Linked DNA regions of Saccharomyces cerevisiae S288C. Changing the gene in region 2 together with the main gene of any one other region gives a genetic interaction. Each region holds a gene or a part of one and is shown on either strand. Other genes may lie near its edges.

Region 1 (3,674 bases), on a different chromosome or scaffold from region 2:
TAAATAAAAACGTTGTTTCTGATAAGTTTGTCCAGTTGGCAATTGCCTGCAATTCTTCTTGACTGACTTCATTTTCATCAATTTCCAAGAAGTTTATTACTGCTACTGGATTTCCCATAAAGGGCTTCTCAGTGAATACATCAACTTGTTTGAAAGGTACCATTAAAGTCATATTCTAAGCGCTTGGTTTTTTTTATCTTATCTTCCTTGTGTCATATTTAGACATTTAGTTTAGTATTCTAGGTGCTTAAATAATGAATATTGTCTATAGATGACTAATCATAAATGAACGAAAAGAAAGAATTCAAGAGGCGATAACAAACTTCCGCGGAGTACGATTAAGATAAGCGTCGGAGGAGGAATTTGATATACGAGCTACAACAAGAGCACGTATATATATATATATTTGTATACGTTCATATACATCATATATACACATTGTCTGTAAGCTTACATCTATGGTGATTCTATACTTCCCCGGTTACTTATAGTTTTTTGTCCTAAAAATATTTTCTATCTAATCCAAACTCCAGCTCTTTTTCAAGGTCTAGAAGCGTGCCGTTATCATTCTGAGGCGGAATATCTGCGGTATTTCCAGTGGCAGGTCTCATCTCCATCATACTCTCTTGAGGTCGAGGTGGGAAATCTGCATCATGCCTTGGCAAATTTTGGGAGTGAATACCAAATGATTCTTGTTGTGGCGCAACAGAATTAGACGTGGCCATCTGTTTTGGATAATTTTCTTCACTCGCTGCGGCGTTGCCATTATCCACATCTGAAGGCTGCTGTTGCTGTTGCTGTTGCTGTTGCTGCTGCTGTTGCTGCTGCTGTAATTGTAATTGCCTTTGCTCTTCTAATAGCGGTTGTCTCACAAACAGCCTGAAATCTTGCACTTCTTGTATAACCATTTGTTTTAAGTCCTCCATATCATTAACCGATTCAAAACTAAATTCGAATTTTTCACTACACACAGGTTCGTCAGCTGGATCATGCCATATAGACAAGTAAGGATGCTCCAGGGCCTCATCCACGGTAATTCTCTTTTGAGGGTCAAACGCGAGCATTTGCTCCAATAAGTCTAATGCTTGTGAATTGGCATTTGGGTATAAATTGACAAAAGGTACTTTTGGAATGAAACCTAATTGATGTATGTAGTCCTGAACATTTTTAGAACCAATCCTTCTTAAAGTTTCGTCTGGGGGTGTCCCTAAAACTTGTAATATTTGATTCAATTGATTAACGTAATCCTTTCCTTTGAAGATTGGCTTTCCACCAAGAAACTCCGCTAAAATACAGCCAGCTGACCATACGTCAATCGCCTTGGTATATCCTTGGTAACTCAACATTATTTCCGGAGCTCTATACCATCTAGTGGCCACGTACTCCGTCAAAAATTGACTGTTTTCGACAGGATTCTCCGAATAACCTCTAGCTAACCCAAAATCACAGATTTTCAATTGACAATCTGCATTGACAAGCAAATTGCCGGGCTTCAAATCACGATGCAAGACATCTGCAGAATGAATATACTTTAAACCACATAATATTTGGTATGTGAAACTTTGATAGTGAGCATCCGTCAAAGGTTGACCGGATTTGATGATTTGGTGCATATCACATTCCATAAGTTCCTCATAAAGATATAGTCCATTGATAGACCCGTCTGGATAAAAAACAATATCCATATCATAAAGACATGTAATATTTTTGTGGCCTCTGAAATGTCTCAAAAGCTTTAGCTCACGTAGGGATCTTTTACATAGTAAGGTCTTCGAAAAAACGTTTGTCACTTTCTTGATGGCAACTGTGGTATCTTCGGCAGCTTCTGCAAACCGCGCTGAACACACTATGCCGTATGCTCCATGCCCTATTTCTTTGATAAGTTGAAACCTCTTATCTACACTGAAATCTTGATTGAAGACCTTGAAAGTATGCCTCTCTATCTTATCAGCCATCTCCCAGAATTGTTATACACGCCCTTCAATTATTTCTACTATTTTGATAGCTTCAATAAGAAAATCTGTGGCCTAGATTTGCTGACTGAATGCACAGTTCGTCTAATATATATATATATCTGGCAGACCAGGGTCTTCAATTAAATCTAAATATTTGTGTAGGATCTGATTTCCCTCACTTTTTTTTTCGATATATTCCTGGCTAGATCTCCTTTTTCAGTTTCTATTTTTAACACTGAAACTTTCCATTCTGCCAACATTTCGCAGTCTTCTATAAAAAAAAAAAAAGATAATATAAAAATCGCCGCATACGTAGGCTTAGCTAAATAGATGGCTTCTAGATGAATATTTCGGGATTCTGTTAAATTATACAGATAGGCTCACAAGTATTCGAACCTGTATAGAACAAGAAAAGAAAACTTCAACTAGAGTATATGCATTTATTCGTTGCAAGTCATTTCAAAGTTTCTAAACGTTTATAGAAATCTTTTACTCTTTCATTGGTGCGAATCTTTCCTGGATCAAAGTTTAGGACCTGTAAGGTGTCCATAGTTACCGCTCTTGACAGTGCAACATAAACTTGGCCGGCTTCGAAAATTCTCCTCAAGTCGACCTTTAGTCTTTGAATAGTTTGACCCTGTGCCTTATGAATGGACAGTGCCCAGCATAGCATTAATGGAATCTGAGTTCTTTCTAACCCGACATTTTCTCTGGGAATATCAATGGGAAAGCGCTCTGGGACCATGAGCTCATGTATGTACTTGTTTTTACCCACTGTCCACCTCACATAGGGGAATTTTTCCTTATGCGGAGAGATCTTAACTGCATAGTTTATCAAGATTTTCAAACGTTCCAATCTAGCTAATGGCCTGGCATTCAAATCTTGACGAAACTCCTTTGATTCCTTTAACAAGGGATTACCAATGACCCGACTCACTAATCTCATGTCCATGACAACTTCGTCATCCACAATCTTGTAAATTTCCTTCATTTTCACCACCAGCGATTCTGTAACAAAAAACAAAACTTTTCCCAATGATCCATTAACTAATTCTACATCAGGCTTATTTTTCAACATCATTACCTGTGCATCTTCCTTCAATGCGACAACTTTTTCCACCATTAATGAAGAATCTAGTATCGCTTGGTATCTCTCGGGCGCGTTATCTACAGCTTTAAACTCATATAAATCACCAGGTAGAGACTGTAATTTCTTTACGTTGGATAGTTCAACTTCTCTTCTTGTGGCATACAGTTCTGTAGGAGCAATTCCATCGGCATAGTCTATATCCCTATTTAGGTTCCTTATTGTTTTAGCAATGTCGACAGTCAGCTCTCCGTATCTTATGGCATTTAGAATATCAATTAGTTTGTTATCCTGTTGTCTGAAAACCTTTGTCAGTAAAATCGTTTTTTGAATGCACCGTTTCCACATTTCACTTTCAAAACAAAATTTCACAACGTTATGCTCGTCCTTCTTAGCAACTGGTGGTAGTTGAAAAAAATCGCCTGTCAGGACCAATTGAATACCACCAAAGGGATCGTCGTTCTTCCGAATTCTCCTTGCGATTTGCTCTAATTTATCCAACAGATTACCATCGACCATAGAAATTTCATCAATTATCAAAACTTTTGTATACCTCCATGCGGCCAATAAGTCCTTTTGTGATTGTATTTTTTTCACCAATTGGTCGATAGTTTTGTTCCCGATTCCTATAC
Region 2 (5,176 bases):
TAATGAAGCATTGTTGCTAAATACCGTAGTGGATGCAAGAATCGATGGAAGGGGCAAATAAATAGCGAAGGCTAGATATTATCTTTAAGAATTGAGTAACAATGTTAAGATGCCATATACTTGTGAATACAAAATAAAGGGAAAGAAAGCGATGCGTAAAACATAAATATTTGTATGTCTTCTAGAATAAGAATAAGGAGTATTACCCCGTATCATCTTGTATTGTTGGAGAACGTATATAGTATAATATGTAACACATACAGCAAAAAAATAGGCCAATTTATGATCATCATCCGTTAAATTAAATGTCTACATTCGGCTTGCGTGGTATATTCTGTTTGCCCCGCACAAACTCCAGTGTTTTGGGTTGCGATTTGGCTGAGAAAAGTTTTGACTTGTGATCATTCAGTTTTCTAGAGCATGGTGAAAGCAAATTGTCTGACGGCGACGCAAATTTTTGCCTAAGTTGCGTGTTCAAGTTTTTCCTTTGATCTTCCACTGCTTTTCTTTTCCGATACGTATTCTTGAATACTTGTCGATGAAGGCAATGCTTTGCAAATGTCTTCGTGTTATGCGCAACTTTAAGACTCATTTTCAAGTGTTGATTAAAAGAATCTAGATTTTCATCCCTCCTGGTGCAAGACACAGACGTATTTTGGATTTTTCTAATCAATTTTGTCACTATATCTTGGGATGCCGATCCGCCGTATGACATCGCAAATCTGTTACTTTTTTTTAGCGCAATGATGTAGTAGCCTCTGATTAACTTTTTTTAAAAAAAAATCACAGATAAGTAGAGGAAGAAGAATTTGCTGCTTATTGGGAACTTTCAATAGAAACCTTTTGTAGAGGATTTCGTTATTTGTTCAAGAGAATAAAAAGGTATACATTTGAAATCCTAGCATTAACTTCAGATACCTTCCACCTTACTAATCGCAGGCCTTTATGACAACGGAGGAGAGTTAGAACGAAGCAGAGAGGCTCCAATCTACATGGGAACATCGCAAAAGATGCGTACTCCGCACTGATCCATTTACCTGCAGGGCTTAACATGCATTGCACCACCGTTTGTACATCATAAGTTAATTACATTCCTTTTTAGGATAGTCTACTATTTATTTTTTCCCGTATCTGGAAAACCCCCTTAGATCCTTGTCACATAATCATAAAAATAAAGGCACCAAGCCCTAAAGCACGTGACATATGTCATTACCCTAGATTACATATAGGGCTTCCAAAGCCCTATTGGAGGTCGAAAAAAAGAAAAAAGAAAATAAAAAAGCGAAAAAAAGAAATGCATAATTCGCAGATTGTTTTTTTTTTCTTTTTCTAATGTCAGTTTTCCTACTTCGAGATCAAAAGAATGTTTTTGCACCGCAACTGAAAAGGTTGTGTTTTCTTTCCAGAGTAAATTACATTTTAATCAATTCTTTGCGCTGCTACGCAATCTTCAAACGCAAGTCCATTCTTAGAAATTTTAGCTTCTCTCAATATTGAAATATTTGCAAATACGCCATTCAAGAATCAAGCCTGTTGAAAATAAAGGTACAAAATTAAATCCGCTAATTATTTTTTTTCGTGTTCGACTAAAGTTATCGAAAAATTGAAAATATACAAGGACTAGCTATACTATCAATACGCAAAGAAAATACAAAATAAACGCACATTCGTTCTATAGGCGACAACTTGGCAGAATTTTTTAGTATAAAATGGATCTATTCAAAAGAAAAGTTAAAGAATGGGTATACTCCCTCAGCACTGACGACCATTATGCAGAGTATAACCCCGATGAAACGCCTACTTTTAACATGGGTAAACGTTTAAACAGCAACAATGGTCAGGTAAATCCCTCTCAAATGCATTTGAATAGTGTAGATGAGGAAATGAGCATGGGATTTCAAAATGGCGTGCCATCTAATGAAGACATAAATATTGATGAATTTACGTCCACGGAGTCAAACGATGGTGTCTCTGAAACCCTCTTAGCTTGGAGACACATCGATTTTTGGACCAGTGAACATAATCCAGATTTAAATGCAACTTTGAGTGATCCTTGCACCCAAAACGATATCACTCACGCAGAGGAAGACTTGGAAGTTAGCTTTCCCAACCCAGTAAAAGCGTCTTTCAAAATTCATGATGGCCAAGAAGATTTAGAATCGATGACCGGTACTTCTGGCTTGTTTTATGGCTTCCAACTAATGACACTAGATCAGGTTGTAGCTATGACTCAGGCCTGGAGAAACGTCGCAAAGAACCTAAACAAAAGATCTCAACAAGGTTTATCCCATGTTACATCTACTGGCTCTTCTTCATCTATGGAAAGACTAAATGGTAACAAGTTCAAACTGCCAAATATCCCAGATCAAAAATCTATTCCTCCAAATGCAGTGCAACCGGTATATGCACATCCTGCTTGGATTCCTTTAATAACGGACAATGCCGGTAACCATATCGGTGTTGACTTGGCGCCTGGTCCAAATGGTAAATATGCTCAAATTATAACATTTGGGAGGGACTTCGATACGAAATTTGTCATTGCTGAAAATTGGGGTGAATTTCTGTTATCGTTTGCCAACGATTTGGAAGCTGGTAATTGGTATTTAGTAGATGACAATGACGACTACTTTAGCGGTGATGGTGAATTGGTCTTCAGGGATAAGAAATCTAATGGTCCTATACAAGATTATTTCGAAGTTTTAAAAAGAAGAACGTGGATCAAGTATCAAGAAAACTTGAGATCACAACAGCAAAAATCTCAACCTGACACATCCTTGCAGGAGCAGAAATACGTGCCTGCCTCGCAAAAGAAAGTGGCAGCTGAACAGCCTTCTACCCTCAACGCAGAATCCATAAAGGGCGAAGATAGTGGTAGTGCAGATGTACAATCTGTTCAAGATCACGAATCTGTCAAAATTGTGAAAACAGAACCTAGCGAAGCGGAGACTACAACTGTAAATACAGAAAGCCTTGGACAAGCAGAGCATGAAATCAAAGCTGATAATGTAGACATTAAACAAGAAAGCGAGAGGAAAGAAGACGAAAAGCAACCAAAGGTTGAAGAAAAAGAACACGTTGAAAACGAACATGTCACAGAATCAGCAAAAAAAGACGATGATGTAAATAAGCAAACAGAAGAAATGAACAAAAAGGAAGAAAATGAAATAAGAAGTGATGATGCTAAAGTGGAAGAAGCGAGAGAAGAATTTGAAAATATAGCTTTATGAAATATCACAATTAACATTCTACAACCAAAAAGAAATTTGGACAATATTTATTTCTATTAAACTGTTCTAGGTAGGTTTCAACCTTAAGAAATTTATACAATATTATCATATATATATATATATATATATAGCACAATTCCCTTACGTTTACCAACCATGAACGTTCGTGGAAATCAATGCATTATGTCTATAAGAGTATTCCTAAAAGCAGGAGAAAGTTCGCTATCATTTGCCATTAAGTGGCTCAAACGGTTTGAGGCCACTACGAAGAAAAATCAATATATACAAAACGGTTGGCCACTAAAAGATGGAAATAAAAAAAGAAAATAAATACTACTAGTAAACATTTATAGAACGTCTTTTTGCAACTATAATCAATTCTGTTCACCATATTATTCTTTGCAAATAGGGCTCAGTGGTCCAAGGAAATGAGACCTTGGAAAAGATAACTAAAGTAACGACATTGAAGAGCATGAACCATAAAAATTCCATGAACAGTCTTTTCGTACTGCTTATGGTAATTGGGTTTTCGCCTTCTTTAGCAGGTTTTAAATCCTTTATCAAAGGTTCGCAGCTGCAGGTAATAAATATTCTCCAAAAGAAATAGGGCAATATATAGTAACGAGGTTCGAATAAGGGTGATGGAACGATAGTTACCATGGTGCACGTTATTAAGGCCGTCCACGATACATGTGTCAGTTGTATGGGTAAATGTACAGGTTCTTTGATGGGGAGTGGAGTGATGGGGTGAAAGGTGAGCTGGTTGGGTCTCATCACTTCAAGGTATGCGAAAGTGGAGAAATGATAGATTGGTGTCATAAAAAAGTACTTGATTAGTCTACTTTTGTTGCCTATCAATCTTCTGAAGAGGTAGAACGTGTAGTGTCTATTATCTGCTAACAAAAATGGGTGAACTTTTGTAAAGTATCTTATGATTAGCATAATACCAATAAATTCAAAAAAAGTTTGTACTGGCTTCCGTTTTATTCTTAATTTGTACAACTTCATAAAATTACGAGATATCCATATAGGTAAACTGAAAACGGTGATGAATGTGAAACAATAGAATATTTGTACTATATGCAGGCCTGCTGAGTGGCTGGACTTATCACCTAGTGTTATGGATCTGTTCCAAATCAGATAAATGAAGAACAAAACAAAATTTATCATATAGGGCAGAACAAGGTTGGAGAAATCGTCAATAGCATGAATGAATAATTTCAAATAGTTATTGAACGTATGCGTGTTGAACTGTTTTTGTAAAATGGCTGGGCGTTCAACAGCAAGAATCATTATAAATCCCGTCCAAATGATATTCGTTTGTCTGAAGAGACAGCTTACACCAGCAAAAAAAGCACTCAACCATATACTCTTCACGGGGCCAAACGGTAATGTTAACACGCAGCTGAGTGATTGCAATATCAGAATTGTAGACCACACATCGGTGTAAAATAAGTAATAATAAGTTGTCATCAATGGGAAGCTCATTAATGAAACGGGCCAAAAACCTAAGGCATTAAAAAGGAATATTGGCCTGAGTACTAAAATGGGGAAAACGATAATCCCTCCAAGTAAATTAACTAATCTTAGTATGGTTAGTGTGCTCCACGACTTGAATATGGGCTTTATACAATAATAATTAATTAAACCCAAAATATAGATTCCAGGGGGGGTTGTTATTTTAGGGTCCCATTGAGTCCATTTACCTTTTAAATAGGTCAAAGTTTGGCCAACGTGAAACTTTTCATCTATAAATTCATAAGGTACAATATTTGTAGTCATGTAACGGAAAGTTAAGACAAAATATATTAGAAGAAGAGGATATATTACTACATTACAGAAGATACCGGTAATGACTTCTTGTGTTAAGTTTCTCGCTATACCTGGTGCAATCAACTGAATCGCTGCTTCCTCTTCCAATACATCATTATTGGCTTCACCAGTATTTT

What was found. Genes that interact genetically often act in the same process or in processes that back each other up.
Region 1: mutations in SMI1 (region 2) and SLT2 are lethal when combined (synthetic lethality), as found in Saccharomyces cerevisiae (8 studies listed by BioGRID, with this or other methods).

What each region holds. Positions count from the first base shown.
Region 1 is NC_001140.6:168,390-172,063, forward strand, and holds SLT2 (mitogen-activated serine/threonine-protein kinase SLT2), read right to left. Parts: upstream 1,956-3,674; coding exon 501-1,955; downstream 1-500. Other genes in the region: YHI9 (Yhi9p), read right to left, coding at 1-172; RRM3 (DNA helicase), read right to left, coding at 2,410-3,674. UniProt on the Saccharomyces cerevisiae protein: Serine/threonine protein kinase involved in a signal transduction pathway that plays a role in yeast cell morphogenesis and cell growth.
Region 2 is NC_001139.9:947,433-952,608, reverse strand, and holds SMI1 (Smi1p), read left to right. Parts: upstream 1-1,709; coding exon 1,710-3,227; downstream 3,228-5,176. Other genes in the region: prohibitin subunit PHB2, read left to right, coding at 1-61; BNS1 (Bns1p), read right to left, coding at 302-715; OTO1 (Oto1p), read left to right, coding at 3,384-3,557; DIE2 (dolichyl-P-Glc:Glc(2)Man(9)GlcNAc(2)-PP-dolichol alpha-1,2- glucosyltransferase), read right to left, coding at 3,612-5,176. UniProt on the Saccharomyces cerevisiae protein: Protein involved in the regulation of cell wall assembly and 1,3-beta-glucan synthesis, possibly through the transcriptional regulation of cell wall glucan and chitin synthesis.